4 linked regions of the Lytechinus pictus genome follow. The protein of the gene in region 2 binds, or shares a complex with, the protein of the main gene of each other region. Links are inferred from orthologs where the notes say so. Each region holds a gene or a part of one and is shown on either strand. Other genes may lie near its edges. The genes, in order: eukaryotic translation initiation factor 3 subunit B-like, eukaryotic translation initiation factor 3 subunit G-like, eukaryotic translation initiation factor 3 subunit H-B-like and eukaryotic translation initiation factor 3 subunit F-like.

Evidence for each region.
Region 1: eukaryotic translation initiation factor 3 subunit G-like (region 2) and eukaryotic translation initiation factor 3 subunit B-like share a complex: the UniProt entries of both Drosophila melanogaster proteins name them as parts of the eukaryotic translation initiation factor 3 (eIF-3) complex. The link is inferred for Lytechinus pictus from reciprocal best matches to the Drosophila melanogaster genes eIF3g2 and eIF3b.
Region 3: eukaryotic translation initiation factor 3 subunit G-like (region 2) and eukaryotic translation initiation factor 3 subunit H-B-like share a complex: the UniProt entries of both Drosophila melanogaster proteins name them as parts of the eukaryotic translation initiation factor 3 (eIF-3) complex. The link is inferred for Lytechinus pictus from reciprocal best matches to the Drosophila melanogaster genes eIF3g2 and eIF3h.
Region 4: eukaryotic translation initiation factor 3 subunit G-like (region 2) and eukaryotic translation initiation factor 3 subunit F-like share a complex: the UniProt entries of both Drosophila melanogaster proteins name them as parts of the eukaryotic translation initiation factor 3 (eIF-3) complex. The link is inferred for Lytechinus pictus from reciprocal best matches to the Drosophila melanogaster genes eIF3g2 and eIF3f1.

The regions. Positions count from the first base shown.
Region 1 is NC_087254.1:11,012,938-11,020,943, reverse strand, and holds the start of eukaryotic translation initiation factor 3 subunit B-like, read left to right. Parts: upstream 1-4,999; 5' UTR 5,000-5,195; intron 5,196-6,416; 5' UTR 6,417-6,536; intron 6,537-7,058; 5' UTR 7,059-7,062; coding exon 7,063-7,116; intron 7,117-8,006. UniProt on the Drosophila melanogaster protein: RNA-binding component of the eukaryotic translation initiation factor 3 (eIF-3) complex, which is involved in protein synthesis of a specialized repertoire of mRNAs and, together with other initiation factors, stimulates binding of mRNA and methionyl-tRNAi to the 40S ribosome.
Region 2 is NC_087259.1:30,430,705-30,438,704, forward strand, and holds the start of eukaryotic translation initiation factor 3 subunit G-like, read right to left. Parts: upstream 3,017-8,000; 5' UTR 2,914-3,016; coding exon 2,897-2,913; intron 1,407-2,896; coding exon 1,360-1,406; intron 827-1,359; coding exon 738-826; intron 128-737; coding exon 68-127; intron 1-67. UniProt on the Drosophila melanogaster protein: RNA-binding component of the eukaryotic translation initiation factor 3 (eIF-3) complex, which is involved in protein synthesis of a specialized repertoire of mRNAs and, together with other initiation factors, stimulates binding of mRNA and methionyl-tRNAi to the 40S ribosome.
Region 3 is NC_087261.1:24,760,144-24,767,280, forward strand, and holds the start of eukaryotic translation initiation factor 3 subunit H-B-like, read right to left. Parts: upstream 3,014-7,137; 5' UTR 2,964-3,013; coding exon 2,907-2,963; intron 2-2,906; exon of another isoform or gene 1-1. UniProt on the Drosophila melanogaster protein: Component of the eukaryotic translation initiation factor 3 (eIF-3) complex, which is involved in protein synthesis of a specialized repertoire of mRNAs and, together with other initiation factors, stimulates binding of mRNA and methionyl-tRNAi to the 40S ribosome.
Region 4 is NC_087252.1:22,051,714-22,059,103, forward strand, and holds the start of eukaryotic translation initiation factor 3 subunit F-like, read left to right. Parts: upstream 1-4,383; 5' UTR 4,384-4,421; coding exon 4,422-4,551; intron 4,552-7,152; coding exon 7,153-7,223; intron 7,224-7,390. Other genes in the region: mitochondrial import receptor subunit TOM70-like, read right to left, coding at 488-724. UniProt on the Drosophila melanogaster protein: Component of the eukaryotic translation initiation factor 3 (eIF-3) complex, which is involved in protein synthesis of a specialized repertoire of mRNAs and, together with other initiation factors, stimulates binding of mRNA and methionyl-tRNAi to the 40S ribosome.

The sequences.
Region 1 (8,006 bases), on a different chromosome or scaffold from region 2:
GATACACAAAATGAAAACGCAAGAGGCTTGAAAGGCCTATTCATAAAAACCACGTCGTGTCCCAAATTGTGCTTAATATTCAGCTGAACTTCCAAATAATACAGCAATTTTCATGCAAAGAATAATGCGTATGGTAGTTCGTGTGTTCAATGTTTTCCCCAATTGAAAGTTGACAAGATATTGAGGCAGTTACTCTCAGTAGTATTATATACAGGTTCTTCAGAAAAACCTTGTGGACATTTTACAATTGTGAACGGTTTAAAATATTTCACTTGGTATTATTCCGTTATTTTGTGTGAGTTAAGCATCTTGAAATGAAACAGCATATATCATATATGTCAACTCGATTTTAGAATAAAGATGACTTGAATAGTTGACAAGGAAACAGAAATACAAGCTCTATATATGTGTTTTATTTTTGAGTTCTCGGTGATTCTCATTTCTTAGGTCCGACGATCGAAACCCCTCTATCGTTTCCTAATAAATCTGAAATAAAGAAAAGTAGAATAAAGTTATATTTTCATCTTGAAGTTTAATTGCATCTAAAAATGATGGTAAACATAATGCGCCATGATGAAGTGTTTTGATGGTGATGATTTGCCTGCATGAAATGAAGTGTGGATTCTGATGTTTATGGTTTTATGGACATATACAAACAGAGAAAAAGTTTTAATGACTATTTCTTTTTTTTCCTAAGTGATGAAATGGATTCACGATGATGATTGGCCTTTGTGATAAATGAACTCAGGGTGATGATGTACGAGTGGGTGTGCATGGTTTTGATTGCATGATGGTTTGGATAATGGGCAATTCCGTAAAATGATCAAGCTTTCTGTACATTCGACCCCCATTTTTCTAAAGTCTTACATCACTTAATAAACTGGCCAAGTCATGGTCATTTGACAGCGTTACAGACTGTCAAAAGAACCAAGAATCATAGAGACCGAAAATTTCATGAAGATCCCAAATATAGAGGTTCGAACGTACATATTTTATGGAATTGCCCTAATAAAAATATGACAATAGTGCGTGATCGATGGTGGTTGACAATGATGATAAATAACGTAAGACTTAGGGTATGTATGTGGGGTGAGGGGGGGGGGTATAAATCAAATCAGCAATGATCGTTATGAAATCGGAATGAAACTCTATGTGAAAAATAATACTATTTGAAACAAAAGTCGACATTATTAAAATTGGACACTTAATATCAAGGTTACAGCATGCTTAAGATTTCAGTGAAACAACTCTTTACTGTCTTCATCAATATTCAATCATGAGCAAAGTGATCGTGTCACGTGAAATATCCCAATTTATTTTTTCGTATATTATAAAATTATGTTCAATTTGTCCTCCAAGAATGAAAACAAAAACTGACAACAGATTTAATACATTTGATACTCTTTGCTGCAAGGCTTGTTAAGGAGACATACCATACTCACATCTTATATGTGATATCTTAAGAAAAAAGAGTAGGGATGTGACATAATCGGCCTAATGAATATTGATGACGACGTGCATATAATTATCTTCACAAAACATCAATAATCTTTAAAATTCAATAACTTAGTTACTTTTTATCAGATTTTCATAAAAATTTCCAGCCTTTGCTTGGTGAATCTTACCCTATTTATTCAGAAATCATTTTCAGCCCTGAGTTCACCTTTCAAACATTTTATTAAGTCAAGTATAGACCTTAAATTGACATGAGGAAATTGATCTGGCGTGTGGTAAGCATTGGCGGCGAAGTCAAAAAATTTAGGGGGTTCCACCCGAAATTTTGTGATGATAACAGGTTAAACAAAATTGACAAGCAAAAAAAAAAAGGCAATCAACTAAAATTTTAGGGGGGGGCAGAAACATTTTAGGGGGGTCCACGCTGACTTTAGGGGGGGGACGCAGGAAATAAAATTGACAAGCAGAAAAAAATAAAATAAAACAGATTATCAACTAAAATTTAGGGGGACCACCCCCCCCCCCACCTCAAATTTAGGGGGGAACCTGTCCCGCCGCCGCCTATGGTGGTAAGAACATTATTATGACGTATTGCAATGTCATTCTGGTACGTCATACTAATGACTCATCACTCCATGCTGCACGTGGGTTGCCGTCGCACATCGGGGAATCCCTGGTACTGGTAGTACCAAGAAGCTCCTTGGTAGTACACAAAAGCAATGGCATATCGCGGTACGGCACGGTGCACGTAAATCACATGGTACATCCACACACCATTATTGTGTGCACATACGACATGTACTTGAATGCAAGTCCGATGATTTATGCATTGTGATGCAACCACTGATCTCCACTCTAAATAAGATGCAACCTTGTGCTTGGCGAAGTACTCGTAATCTCTATTGTGACGTATATGTGACCTTTCAACTAGAGCAGTGACCCAGACGTGTCCGTCTACGAACGCATTATTCATGAGCAGTTGATAAGTTGCGTATTTGAAAGGCAAACTTGACAACGAAAGCGGTAATGAATGTATTGCGCGCCCTTCCAACTCCGCCCCGGCCCCTTCAATGCGATGCGGCGTACAGCAGCTCTGTGTGTGTTTTAGGTCAAGCAAAATGTGCCACTATCGGTGTGATATCGCTTACGTTTTAATCTGAAAATGTGCCAAACTTTAGAAGCAAATATCTCTGGATTTAAATGCTTGTGAGTTATGAAACTTGATTTACATGTTATTTCAGATATTCTCTTCACTTTCTGCTACGTGACAGTGATTTAATTCACAAAATAGGTGATTTCTGAAAAACGTCCAGACACCCTACTAGTATGGAATAGCGGTTGAAAGCTTTAATGTTACAGTTCATGTGTTAACCTGTACTAGTACGTTGCTGATATTTTGATAAGATAAGAAGAACCCCCCCAAAAAAAAACATGAAAAAAGCCTGGCTTCATTTTTGTGTTCATCCATTTATTTTCGTCTCGAGTCAAGACGTCAAGTTCAGTTTCTGGATGCGCTGGTGGAGTTGTGTTACTGCTGGGGCGGTATTCTGAAAACTGTGTTAACGTGTTAACTTTGGTATAAATATTGACCGTGTTATCTCTGATTTAACACGCCCCTAATACCCCCCAAATCCGGATTCTGAAAACCGTGTTATCTCATTTCGTGTTAATCTAGCTTCAGCTCCTCCCAATCTGCATCTTTTTAAGCCAATCAAATGCGCTGTTAAAGAAAAAATCTTTTCAGGGAAAAGGGGAGTGTGCGCACGATGACATGAAGCCTGCATTGTTACATCATTTTGGAAACGCATAGAGCCTAGATCTACAGCTAAATAAAAAGTTAGAGCGAGAAAGAGACATGGGGAGGGGTGATTGTGACAATTAAGAATGGATTATTTCAGACAGCATGGGTACGAAATTATAACAGGAGACAGAATTAAAATTTGATGCGTGTAGCGATCAGCCCCTTCCCCCCCCCCTCCCCATCCTCCCACATCCGAAGCATATAGATTGACTGGCGGGATAGATGAATTAAGGATTACCTAGAAGCATTGAGAGTTTAAAAAATTGTATCAATGGAACTATATATACATGTAACCATTGAAAAAGGGTTTTAAAAAATTGTGAATATTATAGAAGAGTTCCCTAATCGCTAATTCCATTCTTTTTAATTTCCGTTCATGCTTTTTTAAAGATGTTTTTAATTTTCTTTCTCTCCTTTTTAGATGTTTTTAATTTTCTTTCTCTCCTTTTGTCTTTTTTATATTATGGCAAAAAGTAACCAAATAAATAACTCATGAGCATATATGATAATGATTTGAATTAATCCAAATTAAAGATGCATTTGAAGTGTATTTTCACAGGAAATTCCAAAGAAATTTTTGTTAAACTTTAATCATTGTTAGTAGAGAAAAGGGAGATGGAAAATAAAGCTGGAATAATGAAACAGGGATGCCAGTCTTCAGGCAAAAGCCTGAAATTCAGGCTCTGGCAATTTATTTTCAGGCCGTAGTTATAGCATTTTTGTGTACAAATTATTGTATTCTAGGTGATTTTCAGGCCCTCTGATCAATTCCAACTGGCATCCCTAAATGAAAGAAAATTACAGTAAATTCTGCCAGATGATAGCTTTATGCCCGGATATGTTCTTTTTGACGTTTGCGTCTGCTAGAAAAGTGCAGCCATCGTGTTCCCTAACTTAACCTCCTTATCGCAGTGTTGAATTTTTGTGTTATCTACTTATCTTTGAACAAAATTTTAGCTAACACCATTTTCAGAATACCAAATTTCATGTTATGTTCCTCCCTAACACCGCGTATGGGGGTTGCACGTTGCGCACTGCGTATTTCATGACCTACTCGGTGTTACCACTTGGGCCACATGTTTTTCATACTAACACTATTTTTAGAATACCAATCGTGTTAGCTGACACCGTTTTTGTGCTAACACGGTTTTCAGAAAACTGCCCCAGGTGTCTGGACTATGTCTCTGACCCTGACTGTGGTGACCAAATGCCCTTCATTTTTTTTTTATTGATGACCTTTTATTTTTGTATGTTAAATATTTGGTACAACAGTACAAAACCTAATCTAGTCTTCTAGAAATTCACCCTCTTAATCTCAGCAAAAGACTAGATCGCACATTGCAAATAACTGATGATGTAACAATATTAACTGAGCACTAAAAAAAGCCTTAACAAGATCAGGAAAAACATTTCTCACAGAGGATGTGGCTGGCACGGCAGATGATAAAGTTGAGTTGTAACATAAAAAAAGTTGTTCCACATTTTTTTTGACAAAATGAATCAGTAATGTATATGACTTTCTTCACGGAATGCTGTCAAAAAGTTTGATCTTCCTGTGAGTCTTCACATTTATGACCTTGTACACTCGCTGGGTCTAAGATCTTAGTTACGCTCAAATAGCAGAGCTATTTGAGTTACTGAAGAATAAATGGTGCATTCAATGTAAGTTATATAAACTTATTTTTAATCGAACTTGCAGATCATTCTTAATATTATAAACCTTGTATAAACCTCTCATTGCAGAACTTCTCGGTGATATACTTCGAACCAAACCAAAGGAAGCTCTTGGCATCGATTCTGTAATTGTCATCGACAATGTACCACAGGTTGGAGCAGATCGGTTACCAAAGCTGAAGAACGTCATCAGGAAAGTTTGTAGCAAGTATGGAGAGATCAGCACAGAGCACTATCCTGATGCTGAGGATGGCAAGACAAAAGGGTAATAATCTTTGAAGTTAGTGGGGGTGTCGGCTTTCAAGGGGGATTTGACACCACTCTTGGTTAACCATGGAAGATTGAGATTTATGACTTGTTATGTAATGCCACTGGAAAATGCCTTATATGGTAGTCATTTTCTCAGATTTCCTGGCCTGACACTGTTGCCCGAGGCTTCTTGCTGGTATACAGAGTTTGCTTTCCCCAAAAGATGTCTCTGTTATGTTTATTTCCAATTGGTCTAATGCCAATTCCTCTAATTACCAACTCATCTACTATCATTTGATCTATCATCAATTCGTCCACTATAGTACATGGTCCAATTGCCATTTCGTCCACTCACCTTTTTGGTAAATAACCAGTTGGTCCAATAGCCATTTAGTCCATAAACCATTTGGTCTAATTGGATAAGTGTTGAATGGGCGAAATGAATGAAAAGAAAATGGGTATAAGACTACATGTAACTGGTTATTAGACGTAATGGTCATAGACGAACTGGTGATTAGACGAAGTAATTATTGGACCAAATGGTTAATGGACCAAATGGTTGTTAGACGAAATGTTGATGGATGGAATGGCATGAGACTAAATAAAGGTAGACCATGTGATGAGTGGATGAATTGGCAATAGACGAATCGACAGCTTACCCTCTATTACAGGTATTTCCACTGCTTTTTACATAATCTGGGATCAACAAATAATCTATTCCCCATGAGAGCTGACACCCATTCACTGTAAAGGGCATTCCCCCCCCCCCCCCCCAACAAAAAACTTGATTTTGAATAGTTAGAGAAGAATCAAACTAATTTAATCAAAAATCGGATCTTGAAAGATTTCACAAAACATGTACACATGTACAGCACAGTGATGTGCTCATGAGAGAAGCAGCGCCACTGATTCTTTTGCCTTCTGTTACATGAATAATATTTCAATTTTTGCTGATATTTTGACAAAAAGAAGAATGGAGATAAATACAGCTCCTAGAATAGTCTGATGTTGGAGGATAGGAGAGAGTTCTTCCTCCTTTTCTTTCTAGTTCTTTCTAGGTTTCTTTCTAATTCTGTAGAATTGAAATATTCTAGTATTGGTACAAGGAATCTTGAGAGATCAAGAATCCCGAAGTTTATTACCAAGATTTGTTTTTACTGTTCTTTTGCAAAGCATCAACGGAGATCCTTTTTACGTAATTAAGAATTCTTATTCCTTTTTAATTTTTGCACCACAGGTATGTTTTCGTCGAATACAAATCACCTGAAAACGCCATCGAAGCTGCCAAGCAATTGAGTGGGTACAAGCTTGATAAACAGCATACGTTTGCTGTTAACTTGATCACAGATTTTGACAAGTAAGTTGCTCTTCTTGTAGCCATTTTATATTGTGATTTGATAGGGTCATCTTCTTGTGCCATAATCCTGATTTTGATAAGGACAAGGGTGTTGTTTCATGCTTTCATTTATTAGATGACACAATTTTAGTAGTTTATTATAGTAGTTTTCAACTTGTTATTGATGAGCAGCTTTGAAAGTTTTTTTTTTTTCTTTTGGGGGGGGGGGGGGATTTCTATGTTTGCTCTAGCTATTTGTGTAAGGAAAAGTGGTTCATGCTTTTTAGGGGCAAGGTTCTAGAGACTAAGATAAGATGTAGGGAGGGTGCACTGCTAGATGTGACCATGAGAACGTTGGACACACAGATCACAGAAATTTGCTCAGTTTGGCGGCGGCAGCTGTGATGTGTGGAACCCGGATTTAAATTAATGTGAAGAATTATGTCATGAAAAATTGCCTCGTACATAATTGTTGTAAATACATGTTCATATTTAAGAAAGGCTTGATTAATGATTTGATTTGATTGTTCCTTCTATTGATAGGTTTATGAATCTACCGGATGAATGGACCTCACCCGAGAAGCAGCCATACAAAGATCATGTAAGTCTAGCTCAGGCTTTTAGCAATAAACGTACTGACCCATCTTTACCCTTGTGCCTTGTGGGTAACTTATCCATTATGTGTGCACGTCACCTGGTCCAGCTATCCGTCTTTGACAGCTATGTCGGGGTGCTACATAACTTTTTGAATAGTTGGAATATACTTGCCCGAAATCTATTTCACTTGCCCGAAAAAATCCTTGAAAAAAAGTTTGCCTCTTCAAAAGAAAATATTGCGGTTAAACCATTGACCCTTTTTTCTCTCTTTTGACATGAACTGATGTACCTTGTTCTTACATTTCTTTTTCCAAAGTGATTTTATCTTTTCCACCATGACCCTAATTTTGGTCATTCTACTGTGAGAATTTTTGCTTGCCCAATTCGGGCAAGTAGTTTTGGTCTTTACTTCAAAACATTTGCCCGACTTTAACTTTTACTTGCCCCGGGCAATCGGGCAAGTGCTTATGTAGCACCCTGTATGTTCAATAATTTTCTTGCAGTCTTAGGGCCTTTTCACACGAGAATCTTGAATAATCATTGTAATGATGATTGCAATTTGTCTTTAGAATCATTGTACCATTCACACGTTTGCTTGAAAACTGATCTGAATTCGAATTCCTGAGCGAAGGCGGTACTGTGTCCTTGGTGACTTGTCAATCAAACCCAATCAAAGCACTGCATTGCAAAAACGAAACGATGAGTGCATGACAATTGTATTATCTACGGAAGTGCTTGAAAGGTCACGTAAGCTCGGCCCCTCAAAAGACGTCGGGAGGTCAACCCTTTCAGACGAAAAATTTGTACCGTAATTTGAGTGAAACTTAATGGAATTCACCTCCGGAGTAGAATTTGAATTCGTGATCGTGATTAGCGTTCATGGTTCTAGTTCAG
Region 2 (8,000 bases):
AAAGAGATGTGTATCTGGTATAACTTGACATCAGAACCATTTTTTTTTGCTAATTTCATCTTCATACCTTTCGTTGAGCTACTGACTTGGAGGCTTTCCTCTTCTCAATCTTAAATGTGCGTGTGATCTGAGAGAGAAAAAAAAAACTTCATGATTTCAAAAAAACTAAATACATATAGCCTGTTATGTAAATCACACAATGTAATTATTTCTTTTAGGGGCATGTAACACAAAGATTAGTGATTGATTATACAATTGATTCCTTTGACTGATTGCACATAATGATCAAGGTACTCAAGGGTAAAAATCAGACCTAGATCAAGCACTAGGTTTCTTGTTACTGACCACTGATTGTCATGTATTAATGAAATACAAGCACAAATTAAAATTTGTGGTTTAGAGAATTTGCCTACTTTGAACATAAATATTTCAAGGAACAAATCACTGAACTTTTGTTAGTAAATTGCAGCACTGTGCTGTTTGGTACTCTTACAGTGGCAGTGAAGTAGGATGTACTTACTGTAGATGTTAACAGTCCGACTTTGTAGGACTATTTGTCCATTTTAAAATAAATGAATATATGTTTAAAATAAATGAATATATGATAACAAAATGACTTGTATGCACAACCAAACATGAATACATGTAGGCCTACATAAGACAAGTGATTTTATAATTTGTAGATTCTTTGATAAATGTAGATAATAATCATAAATCTTGTAAATAATTGTGGGTACCTTTATCAATTTGCCATCTTCATCTCGTTTGTACTCGATCAACTTCTTGAAATCTCCTTCAAACAATTCTTCAGGAGGTGGAATACTCCCTAGTAAGATAATAGGAAAGAAAGATATTAAAAAAAAAAGATTTAGCATAGACTGTGATACACTCCTGTATCTTGCCTGATTTTTTAACCAAAAATGTGGAAAATAATGCTCAGTTGAATAAGTTCCTTTATTGATGATTGTAGCTTACTGTACAATGAATTCAATACAACTTTCAGTAGTGGTTCCGAATTCTGGCCTGGTCTAATAACTGGCCTAGTCTATTGTCCATCCAAGCTCAAATGATAGCAACCTAGTTTTTACAAATAAAATAACATAACAAACATTGACATTAAGACATAAAAGGTCACATACCCTCATCAAGGTCAGCTTTAAGTTTTGGGATTCATTCATCATTAACCATACAAGTTCAAGCTTTAGTAAGCACTAGAAAGGAAACTGAACTTTAAATTATGTGCAATAAACATCCTTTGAAGAATATTTTGCAATGATCATTATCTTTGCAAGTCCCTTTTTTTTAGGTTGGTTTCCTCTTTATAAAAAGAGGAGACGTAAGTCAAAATGACGAACTTACTCAAATCTCCTTCCTCTACTTGGTCTGCCCAGCTAATAGGTTTAGATCTGTAAAGCAAGAAGAAAAGTTTATTTTCATTTACAATAGGTCCTTGAACCGCTTTGTTATGATGTACCTTCGATTAGCGATGTTACAAAATGCCTTATTGAAGAACAATTCATAGATAAAATTATTATTTAACAAATACTAAAATTTAATACGTGATTAAAACCGTCATAACGAAGCGATTCAAGGGTCAGACTTATTGTATTTGCTTTGTTGAAGAACGAATCGAGAGATCTACACGAGTTCGGGCTGGTAAGAAACCTTCAATTTTTAACCTTCGTATTAACCAATTTTTGAAACCTTCATACGCATTAGGCGTATGAAGGTGTAAAAATAAATAAAATAAAAAACATTTACGTGATTTTTATCTTAAAAGATGGATTTCCTAGGGAAATCCATCTTTGTTTTAGTGAGTCTCTTATACATATATGGCAGGCAGTTCAAGGCTCCATGATGGAGAAGCTTTTATTATATGTCAAAATATTTAAAAAATATCATCATGGAGTCTTCAAGTTCAAGGCTACAGCTGATCTGCCCGCACGATCGCTCACGCGAGTGAAGTGCCTACTCAGACAGACAGTAGAGGCGCACGGCCAATATGGGAGACTCTCTCCAATAGGGGAGACAATCTCCCGCAATGGAGACTTGCTTTGCAAAAGGACAAAAGAAACAACACCAACAAAAGCATGATTTTTTCTACCCAAAATTTTGTCTCACTGAGGTCAGAAGCCCATTTGTTTTGAGTGTGATTGAAAACAAAAATCCTTATCGAAACAAAAGTAGACGGTGAATTTTTAAAGTAGACGGTGAAAAGGGGTAATTTTTCATGAGGAATCTGCTTATCACATTTTTATTTGCCGCCAAGGTAATCCTTTTGCAGCAAATGTAAACAAAGGAAATTGGTCTCCAAAACTGGAGACTGTCTCTGAAATTTGATACCCAAATTCTTTACAAAAGTCTCTGATATTGGAGATAATCTCCCACATTGGAGACAGTCTCCAATATTGGCCGTGCGCCTCTCTACTGACAGAGCACTCCTCAATTTTTAAATCTAATCAAAAGATTAAAAAAATAACCATTTATGATTTAAAATAGGCCTAGATCTAAAATGATATTCTGAATTGTCTGCTTATGTTCCATTAATTGCCTAATCACTAAATTGAACACACACTCAGTCACACTCATCGCAATGCAAGGAACACTGTCTTGCATATCAGATTTTCTGTGCTGTATAGGCGTAGCTGGTGAATTAACTCGGGTGATATTCCAATACGTTTATCAAGAAAACGTGATATCACCTATTCAATTGCGTGTAAAAGATATCTCACACGCTAGGCCGTGGCGCATGCCTCTTGAGGAGGGGAAAGTCGACAAAGATGGTGATAAAAAGAATCTTTATCATGATAAATTTTTCAATTTTCTGAGATTATAATACTTATTAAAATAAAAATAAAAAAATAAACATTTAAATAATATTCTGGTTAATGCTTACGTATCGGCCGAGGGCATATTTGAAGACTGTTTCTAGGCCAACTTTCGTAAAAGTGAACAGCTGCTATGACACACATGCGTGACTTGCGTAAGTACACGTATTCGGCGCGCGTACAAAATGAATGGGACAGCTGCACCAAAGCTGCACAGTAGATGGCGCTATATCAAAACCCGATTCGGGATCAAAGGGGGGGGGGCGGAGGGCAGTGGCGTAACAGGCAGGGGGGTTTCACCTGGAAAATAAGGGGGGGAACGGGGAAAAGAGAAATTGATTGATTGATTTTATTTGGCAAGTCACAATAACATGGACGAATCGTAGTCCTGTTAACTACCACGAATGGAAAGTCAATTCGTAAAACCATCCACTGTAAACAAGACTTGGAGAATCTGTAACCTGAGAGAAAAATCAATGCTGTTGCATTCCCCCGTGCATTCCAGTCTAGTTTGTTGGTTTATTGGTTTATATCAATCGATTTATTATCTGACTCTTAAAGATAAATAAAAGTTAGTGACTGAAATAGTATATTACCTTTTGTCAATTATTTCTCAAGTGTTTGTGTTTTGTGTAGATTTTATGTTGTCCTGTGCGTCTTGTTAACGATGTCGAATGATGTAATAATAGAATCAAGTTTGAATAAAGATGAAACCATCAATAACTCATCTGCAAATTTAAACGATACTTACCTTCTTCCATTTGCAGAAATTGATGACTCGGAATTTGAATCCTTATTCTGTTTAACAAGAGAGTCCGTCGATACAGATAATATAGACGGACAATCTGTGGAAAATGGTCAGGACGAATATACCGACTCCACCAATGCGAAGTATTACTTGACCTCTGAATTTAATGAAATTATCAAAAACTCTGTAACAAAAAATTTTAGCATGATCCATTTCAATCCCGGGGGGGCCACTTCCATTGACGAGTGGATACCATGCGCGACCACGGGGTCTTGAAAAGCACCCTAAACACGTATTTTCCATATTCTGAAAATGCACCCCTTAACAAGTATTGGCGTGTGAAACCCTACCCTTAACAAGTATTGGAAACAAATACTATTGGCAAGTATTCCCAGAACTGAGCCCCTAAACAAGTACAGCGATGTATTTTCCATATTCTGAAAATGCACCCCTTAACAAGAATTGGAAACAAAACGATACTCTTAGCAAGTATTCCCTGAAATGAACCCCTTAACAAGTACAGAGGTATTTTATTGTTATGTCACGCGTCCGTCGGTCGTCGGTTTTACCTTTAGACACCATTATTTTGGTTTAGTACGGCCCCACCTTCCACACCTCGCGCAAATCGGACTCTAAACACGTAGTGTTGGGGCAAAAAGGACATCCTTTATAAAACATTTTGACTTTGTTTTATCATCCCCGCACATTTGACCCTAAACACGTATATTTTTCCTAGCGAAATAGATACCCTTTTTTCAATATTTTTGTGTTTTTGACACCCTTATCACGTTACGTACGTAACGTGCCCTATCTTGAAAAAGACATCCTTTTTACGTGTTTTTTTGGTCGCGCATGGTATCCACTCGTCAATGTAAGTGGCCCCCCCGGGATTTCAATGCAAGGAGTTTATTTCAAAATTTTGATTATATACACAGTTTTCTCTCAAATATCAGATTTAGATTTTCAGTGATTGGGATAACGGAAACGTGGATCAACTCAAACTCTGATGTCCCCTTTTCAATTGAAGGTTATAAGTTCCTACATGTTGACCGATTAAATGGCCGCGGTGGTGGAGTTGGTCTATTTATTCGAGAGGATATGAATTACAAACTGTGTGATTTTTCTGAGCACTGTGAAGGTGTCGATGTTTTAAGTATTGAAATAGAGTGCAAATCAGAGAAGAATATTGTGATTGGGATCATTTATCGTCAACCGAAATCGAGCATTTCTGCATTTACTTTATATTTTGATAGACTGATGAATCATAGTTACATAAATAATAAACGTGTCTTCTTTATGGGCGACTTTAACATCGATTTGTTTAAAAAATCTGGAAGCCCTCTTATTCTTCATTTTTTTAACCAAGTGATTTCATCGGGGTTTTATCCCATTATAGACAGACCTACACGAGCTAATAGTAGATCATCTACTATTATTGACAATATATTCACAAATGTTTTTAGTAGTTCCCCTCTGTCGGGTGCCTTTTTAACAGATATTTCCGACCATTTTCCGATCTTCCATTTGTCACATTTGTCAGATATTGTAACATATGAACAACGAAAAGTACACACCTACAGGAAGATATCCCCTGACAGCATTAATCATTTTTGTGCTGATCTTTCAACCGTGGACTGGTCAGATGTATACCTACAAAGCCACCCGGAGAGGGCGTATGACTCATTTTATAATAACTTTATTACATTGTATAACAAACATCTGCCAATCAGCACAAAGTATATTGGTAAACATCATCGGAATAGAAAGCCATGGATTACCCTCGATGTGATGAAGCTTATAAGAAAGAAAAACAAATGTTATAAATTGTATCTTAACTCTCCTACCAAAGTTAATCACGATAAATATAAAAAAGATTCGTAATATTGTTACCCTGAATCTCCGCCGGTTGAAAAGAAAATACTATTTTGACAAGTTTGAATCCATGAAAACAAATTCTAATAAAACATGGAAACTTATCAATAACATTTTGGGAAAACAGAAAAATAATTTTGATAAACATATGTCTTTTTTACATAATGATTGTAACATTAGTGATAGTAGTGAAATTGCTGAAAATTTTAACGAATATTTTGTCAATATCGGATCGAGTATAAACAATGATCCTAAGGAAGATAATTCTAATTCGTTTGATATTTATATGAATGACCCACTCTCTCATACTATGTTTTTTAAACCGATTACAAAAAAAGAAATATTAGATATCGGTAAATCGCTTAAACCTAATAAGAGTAGCGGATTTGATGACATTGATCCATCTGTTGTGAAGACTGTTTTACCCTTTATTATAGACCCACTTTTACATATCTTTAATTCCTCTCTTGCAACTGGAATTGTGCCTTCAAAACTGAAAATATCAAAAGTTGTTCCCGTTTTTAAGAAGGAGAATCCTAATTTATTTGTCAACTACCGTCCAATATCAATTTTGCCGTGTTTCTCAAAAATCTTGGAGAAATTAGTTTTTAACAGACTGTACAATTTTTTATCACGTCATAATGTATTATATGATAGTCAATACGGCTTCCGTCAAAATTACTCCACTGAAATGGCAGTTATTGAAATTCATGATAGAATAATTAGTGAGCTCAATGCCGGTAAAGAAGTTATAGGAATTTTTATGGATCTTTCCAAGGCTTTTGATTCTCTTTCTCATGATATTTTACTTAATAAGTTGCAATATTATTGTATAAGAGGGGTGTCTTTTAATTGGTTCAAGTCATATTTATTGCATAGGAAACAATTTACTGTCTATGATAATACCCATTCGTCTTTCATGGAAATAAAAACAGGTGTGCCCCCAAGGTTCTATTCTTGGGCCTTTATTATTTTTAATATATATTAATGACATTGTTAACTCTTGCCATGAACCACATTTTATATTGTATGCCGATGATACGTCACTTCTTGCCTCCCATGATAATATCACTACTTTAGTTGAAATTGTAAATATAAATCTTGCCCAAATTTCTGCCTGGTTTAAGTTCAATAGACTTTCCTTAAATACAAACAAAACTCATTGTGTTTTATTTAATAAAAAGAGGGGTGTGCAATATAATCAAACTGACATATTTCTCCATGTGGATACAACTCAATTGCAATTTTATAATTCTGTGAAGTTTTTAGGAGTGATTTTAAGCAATAATTTATGTTGGAATGATCATATAAGTTCTATCTCTGTCAAAATAGCACGTTTTATTGGAATCTTAAATCGTCTAAAATGTAATGTACCTAGTTATATATTATTTACTCTTTACAATGCTTATATTCTGTCCCGTCTTTCATATTGCAATTCAATTTGGGGTAACACTTATTCTAGCCATATACAAAAATTAATTATTCTACAAAAAAAGGCAATACGTATATGTAAGAAGACAGATTATAATGCCCCGACTTCTTTGCTATTTAAATCATTACGTACAGCTAAACTTCCAGATATTACCAAAATTCAAATTGCTTCAATTATGCAACGATACCACACAAAAAGTCTTTCACCTTATTTAATGAATATGTTCTCAATTAATGCAAACATTCACAATTACTTTACTAGAGCATTTAACAAATTCCACAGATGGACCTTTTCAAATGATAAATCTAAATATTCAATACGACATACTGGCCCCACACTATGGAATAGTTTAGACCTGAACACATATAATATACAATTTAATAATACTTTTAAAAGACAATATAAAAAGAAATTGCTGAGCAATTATTGATTTCTCTTAACGTGGTTTTGTACTATTTGCTTATTTGATTGTTTATCCGTTTGTTTATATTTTTTGTTTTGTTTTTAACTTTTGTTCTGTTTTGTTTTACATTGAAGTTTGTTTGAAGTTTGTTTAATTTATTTTTTTAAGAAATGACTATTCTTATCTCTATTTATTCTTTGGTACTTGCCGCATCCATACCATATACTGAATTTTATCTTTAACGATTGATATTTCGTGGGTATGTGCGTTTTAACAAGCCTTTTTATGGCTTTTTTGTGCATGCCCAATTTCCATTCATTATTTTGTTCATCTATATTTTCTATGATTATGTGCCAACCATAATTTTATCATTACCACTATTTGTTTCAGTAATGTTTTGTTGATACCTTTGCTTTGTTTCATGTTAGTTATTTATTTTTTTCTTTGTGTATATATACTTTTGTTCTCATTTTGTTCTTTTTAATGAATTTGGAAATAAATACTGAATTGAATTGAATTGAAAAAATATATACAGTAGCATTAAAACAACAGGCTTGCACAGGAATGACCCACGAAAGCTCGAAAGCTTATTTCCAGTGGGGTCCTCGACATACAGAATAAAAATAATAAAATGGAAAAATTATACTATTTACATATTAAAAAAATGAAGAAAAAAAAATCAGAATTTACTATTACCAATAAATAAGATATATAGAT
Region 3 (7,137 bases), on a different chromosome or scaffold from region 2:
ATGCATTTTCTCGTGATCTTCACGTAGATACCGCAGGGTCATTGTGGTTGTAAACTTTTGCTTAAAGAGGGCGCGCGATATTATTCACAAGATGTTTGTTTACGGTTCTGCAGCTTGTACTGCTAGCTGCATTTTAGACGCTCAGCATTATTTCCTCTTTCTGTTTTTTTTTTTTTGCTGTCAAGCGGTATTTTCTATTGTAGCGCCATCAGCGATGATGAAATGTAAAGAGTCGCCTTGAAATGAAGAAAAATTATGTCACATTAATTCGTTAGTTTGTTGACTATTTTTTTTCACTTTTTTCTTCTTCCTCATCTATGATCAAAGGTGAATACCTTTTTTTTATATCTGTTCTAAAAGCTGGACATTTTAAATATTTTGTTCAAGTAAATAAATCAACAGGATAGTAATCAAAATGCGATAGAGCTGCCCGAGCTGAAAATTCTGATACAAGGACTTGAAAATAAAACATTCTGAGCACTTTTTATAACCATGATGAGGAGACCTATATATATGTGTGTAAAGTTATACATGTACAACAGCTTTGGCAACTCTTTTATTTAAATATTGTAAAGAAATGGATGAAGAGAACAATGGAACATATATATATATATATATATATATATATATATATATATAAAATGCTTGATTTATTTACGCCTATATATATATATATATATATATATATATATATATTTATATATATATATATGTATATGAAATAAGCTAACACGAAAAAAATACGTTTTGGGGACTGTTAAATAAGAATTCATGAGTGGTATAGGTAACTATCTATTCTATTCTTGTTCGTTTTCTATTATTATTTGTGTGTTGTGTTTATTTTTCTTGAAGCACCAAAAGGTGGACATGTCCGCTAAGATATATTAACGAAGTCACCATTATTATCACAAGCTAACGGATCAATTAAAAAACGAGCGTGAAACGTGAGCTTCTTTTTTTCTTAATTCAGTCTTAACGATACTTTTTAATCATATTTTAAAGGTGAATCTCATGATTCAAAATGATAAATGCTTGTCGCACGGGCAGAAATAGCGGGACCAATAGTTATTTTCAATATTCCAAACTGCATTCTGGACGTTGTATAAGCGCCTTTGTATAACAATTAAAAGGGTAGGTCTATTTACCTTACAAATTATGCGAGCGCTGAACTTTTGGACATTTAAACCTCAACAAATGGACATTTTTAAAATATGAACAACATCATAAATGTCACTTACAAAAATGATGCCAGCGCGAAGCTCGCACTTAGAGTTTTTGATATTGATGACAGGACTGTATCTAAATGAAAAATAATGCGAGGGCATTTGCGCTTAAGATTTAAATTTGGGATTTGAAAAGTCCGACAGATTACCTATACTTTTAAAAGAGGAATGACCTCCAGAATTCAAGCGCGAAGCGCCAGTAGATTTATGTTGAAGTTTAGACCTAGAACAGGGACGTTGAACCTTTATAATCATGAAAAAGATGTTATTTTTATAAATAAAACATGGGAGTCTAATTTTGTTTTAGTGTTAATATTCAGATCTTCAAACTTGACATTTTCCTATCCCCTCCATTATCCCCTCTCCTTCTCCCTTTCCCCATTTTCGTTCTCCCTTCTTTTCTTCTCTCCCTTTCCCTTCCCTTTTTCGCTTTTCCTTTCCCTTCTTTTCTTTCCTTTCTCCCTCCCCTACTCTTTTCTCGCTCTTTCCATTTTTCTTTCCCTCTCCCTTCCCCTCTTCCTTTCTTTTGTTTTCTTTCTATTTTATGGTCTCCTTTTCCCTCTCTCTCCTCTACCTTTCCCCCTCCCTTTTCCTTTCCCTCTCCTTTTTTGTGCAAACATTAACACGAACATCTTGCTTCCTACACACACACACAAACGCCCGCACGTAATGCGAAACAATCGGGACATTATCATTTTGTTCATACATATATATGTATATTTTCTCAATGAACATTTTCATCTATTTAAAGCTTTGAAAATTATCAAACAATGATTCCATAGGCGAAATCTCAATGATCATTAGAAAGGTACTTTACCCATTTTCATTTTAATTTTTTTATGTCATTGTGATTATTCCATAAAAAGGCAACATATTTTGGATATAAAAATACGTGAAGGATATGTTCCTCTTCTGTTTTATACTTTAACAGAAAACATTTTGTTCAACCAAATTATGATTTGTATTTCCAAGTTCCATGTAATATTTTCATTGGAAAATCTCTTAAAGGTCAAGTGCACCCCAGAAAAAATTGTTTGAATAAATAGAGAACTATGTTGATTTTTGGTACAATTTCCTATTATGCGCCGACGACTTGCATGACTTGAATCGAGAATGTTCGATAGGAAAATTTCGCATTTCGATTGTTGTTTGCGTAATTTCCACCGCAGTACGAAGGATGACTAAGGACGGACCGAGCGAAGTATCCTGGTTGAGATTTGGAGGTAAGCGATAAAAACACTTTAATAAATAATTTATAATTGCTTTTTCAAATAAACTTGATCATACGATCAAGATTAACATAGTGGACAAATATTGAAAGGTTTGGCGTAGTTTAGTCCCTCACATTCGTGTGATGAATGAAAACGTCAAAATGCACTATGAAATCACATGTGTTGTGCGAGGTTAGTATACTAACCTCGCATGTTGTGTGAGTGGCCGTGACGTACAGTACTACGGTACAGTACAGACACATGACAGAAAGTGTGGTCCATTGATTGAGCAGGGAGACTGGAGAGTCATACGCACACATGTCTGTCGCGGGAAACATACGGCAAAATAAACAACGAATAAAACACACTTTCACTCGCCTGAATTGTTCAAAATCAATCAAGTTCCACTAATTAAAGTATAGTACATTGAAAACCAACAAAACAAAGCAAAATAAGTAAGGAAAATACATACCAAGCCGTCGATTTGTACTCTTGCCACCGGAGTCTCGAGTGTACTGTGTGTCGCCATTTTGAGAACTGCCAATTTGAAGATCGCGATTAAAATTAAAGGGGAAGTTCACCCTGAAGAAAAGTTTGTTGTAAAAATAGCAGAAAAATACAAAAAATATTGGTTAAGGTTTATGAAATGCATAAATTTCGTGATGACTGAAGGTACAGTAATAACCATTTTCAATTTTCCGAGAAAATTACATTCAAAAGTCTCTATCAGGGGCCGCGGAACGGTTTTCAAAGTGGGGGGGGGGGGGGCTGAGCCAAAAGTGGGGGGGGGGGGCTGACAATGCAAAAAATCACAACCGTATGGTCATTTTTACGTTTTTGTACATGGTTTTGGAAAAAAAAACCAGCCCCCCCCCCCCGCTTCCGCGGCCCCTGTCTATATAAATCTAAACAATTATCAATTATCATGGAATGTAGATGGCTAGCTCATCAAACGACTGAACGGAACGAGACAATTGTGTTAATATAGACGAACCTTTATTCTGTAAAAAACTTTTCTCAGATATATACTTTTTTAAAAGTGAAACACATTATATCAAATAGTGATAATATATCATACAAGGGATAAAAATAAGTGCGAACTGTAGATCAACTGAGATAAGTAAATTATTTGTTCACATGGGGCTTAAACATCCAATGTTCAAGCCAATGTGCCTCTCGCGAATTAGAGTTTTCATTATTCGTTTTAGCGAGATACACATCCTACCTATTCATAATTTTCATAATTGAAATTGTTTTAGCTCGCGCTACGCGCTCGCATCAATTATTTAATTATATTGTCATCCACTTCATGATTACAAAAAGTGCTTAGAACGTCGACCAGTTATCATATCAGGATATCAAAACAAGTTCAGCTGGCGCTTCGCGCTCGCATTATTTATTTGGTGAGAGGGGGTGAGATATCATCTTCATGACCCAGTGCAAACAGTTAACTTAACAGGTCCCTTTCTAAGTCAGTAGGGTGACTATATAGGGTCTACATAAAAAAAAGCTCGCGCTTCTCGTATACAAAACATATCGTTGCACTTCAATCAAACAGAAATCCTTCATTTGTGATTGAAGCCCTTTTTTTTTTTTTTTTTTTTTGCTTGTCAATTTTTTTTCTGATACGAAATCCTTCATTTGTGATTGAAGACCTTTTTTTTTTTTTTTTTTTTTTTTGCTTGTCAAATTAATTTTTTGGCGGACGGTTTTGCCCCCCACCCCCCCTGTGAAAAATCCTAGGTACGCCACTGGGTACGGTAATACCCGTCGGTCCAGTCCATTGTCGTCCTGGCGACATCGCCGGGGTATAGTGCAACCCAAAAAATATGACATTTTAATGTATTAACATGACCGAAAGTATGACATAAGAAACACCACTACAACATGAACAGAAGATAAAACAAACTCACAAAAAGACGATTAATACAAAATACTAATCTACAGTGGTTACAATTTATGCAATGGAAAAATAATTGTTTATGTTTTGCCATTTTACATTGTGTTTATTTAGTTTGTTTTTCTTTTTTTGCAATAATTTCCTCAGTAAATTTATAAGATAAAAGATAATAATTAAATTGTTTCAAACTAGAGAGAGTCTCTTGGTATTTACATCTCAAAATGAATTGTTTAGGCCTACCAAGTAAATTAGAAAATTAAATGCTAAGGTGGATTGACTTAATGGTTCTAGTAATCCAAATAAAATAGTATCTCGTGAAAGGAAATAATTAGGATTAAAATCAGTCACTCTCATACGCAACGCATTCCAAAAGGATGCTATTTTAGGGCATGCAAGAAACAAATGATCCAATGTCTCGGGTGTCGCATTGCAAAAAGAGCATAATGCATTGGTTTTCTTTCCTATGTTTGTGAGCCATTCATTTGTAGGTATTAAGTTATTTAAAGTTTTATAATGTGTAATTCGAAGTATTGTGTCAATAGTGATTCGTAATGGAAGAGTAAACAATTTGGAAGTCTGTTGCCTATCACTGGCGTAAATCCCGGGGGGATGGGGGATACTTCCCCCACTTTTCGAGGAGGGGGGGGGGATGGCCTGTACAAACATCCCCCCACTTTTTACGAAAGAAATGAAGAAAAAAAACATCACAAGAGATAATTGTTTTATTGGTGAAAATTCTTCCTGAAATACCGCTTAACAAATAAAACAATATTATTGAATCATAAAATGCAAATAAAGAGCCAGTTCACCATTTCCAAACGAAATACAATGTCCTTATCATAACATTGAAGAGAAACTCCCGTTTCTTCCAATTCATCAATGTTGGGGTCTTTGGGAAGGGATTAAGATGGAATGTCAATTCTTTTTTAATGTAATCTCTAATAAAACCATTAAACCCTCATGGGATAAAAAGATAATAATATTGGAGGGGTATTTGCCATATGGACATACAGTGGCGTAACTACGGGGGGGGGGCATGGGGGGCACGTGCCCTCCCAATCAGCTGACCAAAAAAAAACGGGGAAAAGGGGAAAATGAGAAAAGAGGGAGAAAGGAAGAGAAGCGTATTATTCATTATAATGTTATATTATAATTATGTTATGTTACATTACATAAGAAACAGTTTTATCATAACTTCATGAAACATAATTTGCCAAGGGCCTACGTTTTCATTGTCCCTGGTGCTTGTATTGTCTGTTAACGAGATATATAATCCTGTTGTACTGAAACATCCCGTTTTCAAGTCAATATAAACCAAATATATTTCCTAGCACTTGAGTTATCATTGTTTTATGTAGTGACATAATTTATGCTTCTTTTCATGACTCAAAAAGTGATTGCCCCATGTTAAGGTCTTCTTATATATGAAACATTTCCTGTCCGTGATTACGTTCGCATTAGTGGATTGGTGAGATATGTCTGCTCTTCATGAATTTCCTAAAATCAGTCCTTAAAATGTCCCTTCTTCTGATCTGAATATCAAAAATTTTCAGCTCGCGCTTCGCGCTCGCATCATTTGGATATTGAATTACGTATGGTCCTAGTTAATTCCTACAAAGAAACCTTAGAATGCCCCACTTCAGGTCTGAATTATCTAAATTTTCAGCTCGCGCTTCGCGCTCGCAATATTTGATTAGTGAGATGCGTATGATAATCATGATTGCAATGACTACAAAAAGTGTTTAATGTGTTCAGATGTAATTCTTATAAGCCAGCAAGCGCTTGGCACTCGCATTAGATGACTATGGTGAGATATGCATACTCTTAATGGATTCCTAAAATATATTCCTCAAAATCTCGCTGTTTGGGGTCAAAATATACGAAAACTTCAGCTCGCGCTTCGCGCTCGTATTGTTTAGCGAGACAGGTACCTATCATGATTACACAAATTTGATTATAATGTCTCTTTTAAGGTGTGAATATAAAAAAAATTTAGCTCGCGCTTCGCGCTCGCATTATTTGATCAGTGAGATGCATATCCGTTTAATGACATTGTCCAGAAAATTTCTCTATTAGGTCAGTATAACTGGCAACTGAGCACGCTCACTCAGTGATTCAAACATTTTGCTGGTGCCCCCTCCCCAATGCCGTGACCCACGGTACGCCACTGTGGACATATCAATGACAATTCCTTGCATATCTAAAAACATGACTGCAAAAAAAAGCCAAAATATTTCAGTCATCCCCCCACCCACCAACACGGATTTACGCCAGTGTTGCCTATCGATGTTGTAAAGTTGATTAAAACGAGTAAACACCTTGGAGGTTTCGGAGTTATGAATATTTAAAAAAGTGCGATAAAATTGCTTAGTCGATATATTGTGAATTTGTCTAAATGCAGATTCACAGAAAAGAGAAGGGAAATCCCCAGGTTCTTTTACAAGATGATGATAGTTTTGTTGTAAAAATATTTGTGTGTTGCCCCCAAATGTTTGTTGCCTCCCCCTAGGTTAAAAATCCTTGTGCTGCCATTGCCCCGGACCCGATCTGCATAGCACTGGCCCCCAAAAGTTCTACCACTCGAGAAAAAAAAAAGATGAAAGAAAAGAAAGGAAGATGTAAGATATGATGTTATTTCCTGAATTCCATGTCAAAAATCATTCTCAAAGTTAGATTCTCATAAAAAGGTGATTTTTTTCTCTCTCGCTTCGCTCTCTCTGGACTTATATTAAGCTACTTTTTGCTGGGCGCACAATAGTACGGTGCCCCCAGTGTGCCCCCTCCTAATGCTTGGGGCACAATC
Region 4 (7,390 bases), on a different chromosome or scaffold from region 2:
TTAACCGCACTTTCCACCCTTTTTCCCTCACAGGATTTATATATTATTAATATCCCTAATTTTACCACACTTGATAAACCATTGTCATATCAAAACTGATAAGGCATGAGCTGTGGACTGGTGGCACAATGTAATTTGTCTCTCTAAAAGTTAGTTCCTGAAGAAAAAAAAAATTGTAGAAACGTCAGAATTTTTGTGGTTTTGCAAAAGCCCCGCCCCTGCCACGGGCCCGAGAAATAGTTTTCCAGGCAGTAGTCTCGTATATTCTGCACTGTGCAATTGAAACAAGGGCCAGCCATGACTAGGACAGAGAGAGTAGGAGAGTAACCTCCAAATCCAATCACCAATGCCATGCCATGGCAATGCCCATGTTAACCGGTTAAGCTCCGCGGACGGAGGCTGAGCCGGCAATGCAGGCTCGCCGGGCGTGCCGCCGAGCCCAAACCCTGTCTTTCGCCTAATCATTGTCTTTCCACGCACTACTCACCTGTGTGTGTTCCACGCTGCTGTTCTTTCCCGCATCCCCTTCGCCATTGGCTTTGGTATTTCCAGAAGTTCCTGCAGTACCTGACTTAGTATCCGAGCTTTCCTCTGGACTCCCACTTCGAGTAAGATAGTAGGCTCCAAATGCAAGTCCTGCCACTGCTATTGGGGCTCCGACTGCTATCGCAATTTGCCATTTTGTCCATCCAACATCGCTCCCTGGCCTGCTACTCGCTGCCATCTTGGATTACGAAGTGAAACGCCATAAGTTGTGCGGTACGAACTATTCCCGCACGTGCGTGATCATTGCGGCGTTTATTTTGCATTATCATAATGCATAATGATACGGAAAAAGCTACAAAGAATATTCCCTACATAAGAGATAGATTCCTTAACTGAGTGTGGTGTGATGAAGTTGCTCGGAGTCGGAGACATGCAGTCTCCCGGGGCAGTCTCAGAATTTTTAGCATTTATTTTATCAACCTTGCATTTTAGGGAATGAATCTAGGTCTACATAAGATGCCTTTTAAAAACAATTCATTGGCCAGTAGAGAATCCTGGTTTGAAAAGTGATCGGGGGGGGGGGGGGGGGGGTTAGGGGCGTCCCACTATGGGTGGGGGCTCAATCCGGGGGCTCAATTAAGCTGTTATATTTTGTCGAGCCCCCCCCCCCCTTCAAAGAGAAACTGGTCTCTCACTCCATTCACCTCCAACCCCTTTTGACCGCCATTCCATTTAATTTTACACAACTTGAGTATTGTATGCTCTATTCAATTATAAAAATTCATCATTATTTTTTAAATGAAATATTACCATTAAAATATTTAGTATCATCATTATTATATTTATTATTATTTTCATTAGTATTGTTATTATTATTATCATCATCATCATGATTATTATTGTTTTAGGGAGTGGCGTACAGATCGATGCGGGGGCTTGGGGATCCCCCCCCCCCCCGAAAAAAAAAGGAAAGAGAGAATTAAGAGTAAAATATAATATTATTTCCTCAATGTGACATCTAAATCTATCACAAAACTTGATTTTTGTATTTAAAAAGTAGAAATTTATTCTCGCTCGCTTCGCTCACTTGTAGCTTTCTATGAACTTTGCCTGATATACACCAAATCTGGCACCATAAAAATTTTCGGCTCACGACGCCACCGATTTCAGTCCATGGTGGCAGACCTAGGTAGGGGTACATCCGATATTTGACTAATTGTGCCCCCGCCCCCTCTCGAGAGCAAAAAATAAAATTATTGTCAATTAAAGGTTTTCCCCTTCATCTTTTATTTTTTTGTGGAAAATAGGTAAAAAATAAAAATGTCTTTAATAACGCTGAGCGGGCACCGCCCGGTAATTAAGCTTCGGCACCGCCCAGTAACTTTATTAGCTTGCGCTCGCATTGCTTTATGAGATATACTGCTTGTTATTTATTTCAAAAGTGCTTGAAAGATCCAGTTTTCAGATCTGTATATTAAAAAATAATAATTTCGCGCTCGCATCAGTAATATGGTTGCGTCAGATGCTATCCTGTTTTTATATTGCTATAAGGTTAAAAGAAGATGACTTTTTGGTCGGAAAAAAATAAAGATACGCTTCGCGCTCACATTAATAAAAATTTAATTAAATAGCTACCCTGTCCTTGATTTTAAAATAGGCTAATAATACCAATTTTTAGGCCGGAAATGACATATCTTCAGTACACACTTCGCGCTCGAATCTAATATTGATTAGTAAAATTCCTATCCTGTTCATGATTTGAAAAAGTGTTACGATTGTCCAGTTTTTAGGTTAGAAGATACAAACTTTCAGCCTGCGCTTCGCGCCCGCATTAATTGTTTAGATTCCTATCCTGTTCATAATTTTTTTTTTAAGTACTAAGAATGTCCATTATTTAGGTTGGAAAATAAAAAACATTCAGCTCCCGCTTCGCACTCGCATTCATTGTTTAGATTCCTATTCCGTTCATTATTAAAGGACAAGTCCACCCCAACAAAAAGTTGATTTGAATAAAAAGAGAAAAATCCAACAAGCATAACACAAAAAATTTCATCAAAATCGGATGTAAAATAAGAAAGTTATGACATTTTAAAGTTTCGCTAAATTTCACAAAACAGTTATATGCACATTGTGGCTGGTATGCAAATGAGGAGACTATGACGTCATCCACTCACTATTTCTTTTGTATTTTATTATATGAAATATGAAATATTCTTATATTTTCCTCATTGTCAAGTGATACAACAATTAATTCCTCTCTGAACATGTGGAATTAGCTTTGTTTAATACTATATGGTTCAGTCAAGTTGGTCCTTATTGTCAAATCTGTAAAAAATAAAATATTGTATAATTCAAACAATAAAAAACAAAAGAAATAGTGAGTGATGGACATCATCGACTGATTCATGCACCTAATTGTGCATTATGTTTTGTGAAAAATAAGCGAAACTTAAAAATGTCATAACTTTCTTATTTAACATCCGATTTTGATGAAATTTTCAGAACTATGCTAGTTTGAGTTTTCTCTATTTATTCAAGTCAGCATTTTCCTGGGGTGGACTTGACCTTTAAGTGCTTAGAATGTCCACTTTTTAGGTTGGAAAATCAAAAACTGTCAGCTCGCGCTCGCATCTATTATTTAGTTGAATTCCTATTCTGTTCATGATTTATTTGAAAAAGTGTTACGAATGTCTAGTTTTTAGGTTGGAAAATAAAAAACTTTCAGCTCGCGCTTCGCGCTCGCATTATTTATTGAGGCCTTTCATCTTTAGTTAGGAATACCTCCCCTCTTCGAAATATGTATATATATAGGCCTATATGTATACATATTCATACCTATTAAACGTCTGCTACCGGCGGTTTCACGCCCAGACTTGAGGACATCTTCAGGCAGACTGACGTTATTGACTATTTTGTGTGGTGCGGCGGGTCAATTTGACGCTTCGGTGGTTTCCGGTTTGGTCTCGAAACCGCCGTTAGCAGACGTTCAATATGAATATATGCTCTGCTTTATATAGCATTGAGCACTTTGCACAATCATCGGCATCTCCCGTCACATCTAAGGATATATATATGTTTGAGTTAGTTATTCTGGAGAACATAAAAACGGAAAACTCAATTGTGTCCCCCCTACCTTCAAGGAGAGATTTCCGCCCATGTACCCATGTATGTACTGAAGGCCCTCTGAGTCGCTCCTGAATTGAAACAGCAAAGCTTTGTATGTGCTAGTCTTTGCGTGGAGACACACTTGTTGATCAAAGTTTCAATCAGGGTCTGTGCCTGCAGACTATATACTCTCAAACGGGACATAGACATTTTCGGGGGCTTTCCTGGGGATTCTTATATTGTTACTTTTTTTCCTCCAGAAACGGACCCATATATCTAAGGATTATTCAGTAGAAAAAAAAGGAACCCATGACTAAGGATTTCTTGCAATAGCAAGACCCATGTCAAGGGTTTTATTTTTATTTTATTTTATTTTTTGCAAAAAATGACCCAAATGGAGCGGCACATCCCCGCGTATGCGATATACACGCAAGACCCCCCCCCCCCATCCCACGGGAATTGTTTCATGATAGAGGAGGAACTATTCTCACTTGCGTAGGCCTGTAGGAGGAAGGGGGGGGGGCTTTGGTTGCGCCCCCTGTACCCCATCAATTTTTTTAATGAAATAACTTGATGATCTTTTTCAATATATTTTTTTTTTATAATAGCAAACACAGTCATGATCGATGTAGAAACGCTGGTAAGAATTTCAACTGGAGATACATTCTTAAAGCTATTGGCCCGATGGAAATAATTTTCAGGCCACCGGGGCCTATTTTGGCATTTTCTTCAGCTGTTTCCAACTCAAAATAGCTCCACTCACCCCCCCCCCCCCTCATCCCCATCGACTGATCGAGAAACATTTATTTAGCCTGGCCCTTCTCCAACCAATGATGGCAGCATTCAAAATGGCGGCCTCAGCAAAAGTCGTGAATATCCATCCGGTAGTTTTATTCAGCATTGTTGACTCTTTCGAGAGGCGGACAGATGAATCAGCACGTGTAATCGGAACTTTACTTGGTAAGTATTCAAGGATAATAACTTCAGCAAAATAAAATAATGCCTTGATGGAGATTCTGTACATTGAAATGAATGATATTCCAGCGCTGTGTACCACACGTGATTTTGGGCTCTGGCATCTGCAGCTCCTGAGTCCTGGCCCGAGCCCGAGGCTTGTGTCAGTGACAGTGGCCAGTGGACGAGGGGGACTCGTGAAGAAGAGCCCCTATCTGTACACCAAGGGGGGGGGGGGGGGGGTGACGAAGGGCTGCCGGCTGAGCCTGACTCTGTTGTCGTGTTGACTGTTGAGTGTTGTCCTTCCTGTTTCGTGATTTTTTTCTTCACCAAATTGTGTCTTATTTTTTGTCATAAAAAAATAAATTAAATTTCGAAATTTCTTGTAACACTAACAGTTTTCTAGGGAAATGGTCTGATTGTAATATTCTTCACTTTCTATAACTTTTTTTTCACAGAAATTTGTATAAAAAAGTGTAATTTTCTGCACTTTTCCTACAGCTCACGATTCCCATAGATGCGCGTGTATTTACTGTAAAAATCTAAAATTAGCTGTGTTGGTGTTGGATTGTTAATGTTGGTGCTCGACTCATCTGAGTGTGATTTAGCAAATTAATTCAGTTACACTAGATCTAGTGGTCCTATTGTATTGATACCAGTAACCCTTGGGTAAACTTATTCTCGAGGTCGGACATCCGGGGATTTTCACTCGCAAAAGTAACTTCTGCATAGCAACCGATCGCGAGGGTGCAAACAAAGCCGGAACAATCATAGCAACCGATCGCGAGGGTGCAAACAAAGCCGGAACAATCGGGGCGCGCAAACAAAAGTCCATTGACTCAGCTGGGTTGAGATATACGTTGAGATGCCACCCCTCTTATTTTGATAACAATTGTCACCCCCACTTTCAAAATGAAATGATCGTGAGCATTTTTTTATAATCTATATTTTGATACCAAATATTGGTAACTTGAGCAGGCAGCTTTGAAACATCGATTGCTTAATGTGGGCGTCTCAAATCGTCGCCCGAGAAAAATGGCAGCTAAAATTCGCACCGTACGGACCAAGCTTGCAAGTCCGAATTTGACTGCGCTAAACTCCTTTTTCTTTTGCTGGATCTTTTAACCAAATGTTGCAGCATTTCAGGGAATTACTGAGGATTAATATCAGATGCCACAAGACACTTTTCAACATTGCAAATGATTTCTAGAACCATTTTGGTCATGCAGTGACAGGTGAGTGGCGCAACAGTAAAAAAATTGCACATGGCGACTCACTGCGCATGTAGTGATGTACGTTAAAACTTCGGATAAAGCTGGCCATCTTGCCTTGTTCTTGGAACACCCGTACACACAACATATTTTCACCATTGTCCAGCAATTAAAATCAAAATGCAGTACAAAACGCGATGAAAATATAATATAACAGTTCAAATCAACGACTTCCAAAAAACTTCAAGGAAACTGCACAGCCAACACGTACGCTCGCACCCTTTGTTTGCACCTTTGCCCTTTGTTGTTAGGGAAATCACGTGACTGTGACGTCATGCCGACCTCGAGAATGAGGTATATATGGACTGCTCTGTATTCGGATGACGGTGGAACTCATCTCTCTCCAAAGTGCCTCAGTGGGGTGATAGAAGGGCTGGTATGAAAAGCACCTTGGGAATGACAATTTACACAGTCATCCTACTAAAGCAGTCAATGTTTATATAATGTTACATGTCATGTTCTCAAAAAAATGTAATTAATGTACATTATCCATATTCCAAGATTAAAGGAGAATGAAACTCTTGGAGCAAGTTAGCTTTTGTGAAAGCAAAAAAATCAAAGAATAAGATCAACAAAAGTTTGAGTAAAATAGGACTAGCAATAGAAGAGTTCTGAGCATTTGAATGTCGAGATCACTAATGCTATGGAGATCCTCCCATTGGCAATGCGACCAAGATCTATGATGTCACAGATGAACAACTCTCCCCTTTTGGACACTGAAAATATACCCCAAAACATCTCTTTTTGCTCATTCTAATCATATGACAAACGATTCATCAATGATATAATGTTGTGAAACCTCTGACTTGTCCTCTCATAAAGAGAACACCTCACCTTGTGATAGACTCTATAAAAGTGAGAATATAAGTGAAATAAGTACTAAAGTAATGAGGGAGTTGTACGTGTGTGACATCACAGATCTTGGTCGCATTGCCAATGGGAGGATCTACATGGCATTAGTGATCTCAATATTCAAATGCTCATAACTTTCTTATTATTCATTCAATCTTCCTCAAACTTTCAACGATATGTTTCTTGGATTTTTCTCTTTGATATGGATTCAGCTGGTTTCAAGGGTTTCATTCTCCTTTAATAATACCCAAATAAATGATGAAATTTTTAAATTTAAAAACACAAAAAAATACATATGAGGAGGTGGGGGGGTCATTTTCAAATAATTCAAATAATTCACTGTGTCTATATACAAAGAGATCAATTTATTTTAGTGTAAAATGTAGGTTTATCAGATTGTAATTTGCAGAATTCATCATTGATCTACTTATGATTCAATTAACATAATTCCTTATTGTGGCCTCTGTTTTTTTTTTTAATGTAGGTACGAGTATTCAAGGAGTTGTTGAAGTCACAAATTGTTTCTGTGTGCCTCACAATGAATCAGAAGATGAGGTGAGTTAAAGCTGCTCGGAAATGCACCATCTTGATACCTATAGTACCTCGTATTGACCCTACATCATTATCTACGATGCAACGTTTTGATATGTTCATTCAGTCGTATATATATGTTTATTAAGAATGATGAATAATTTCCTTGTATTTTTTACACTAAAGCATCC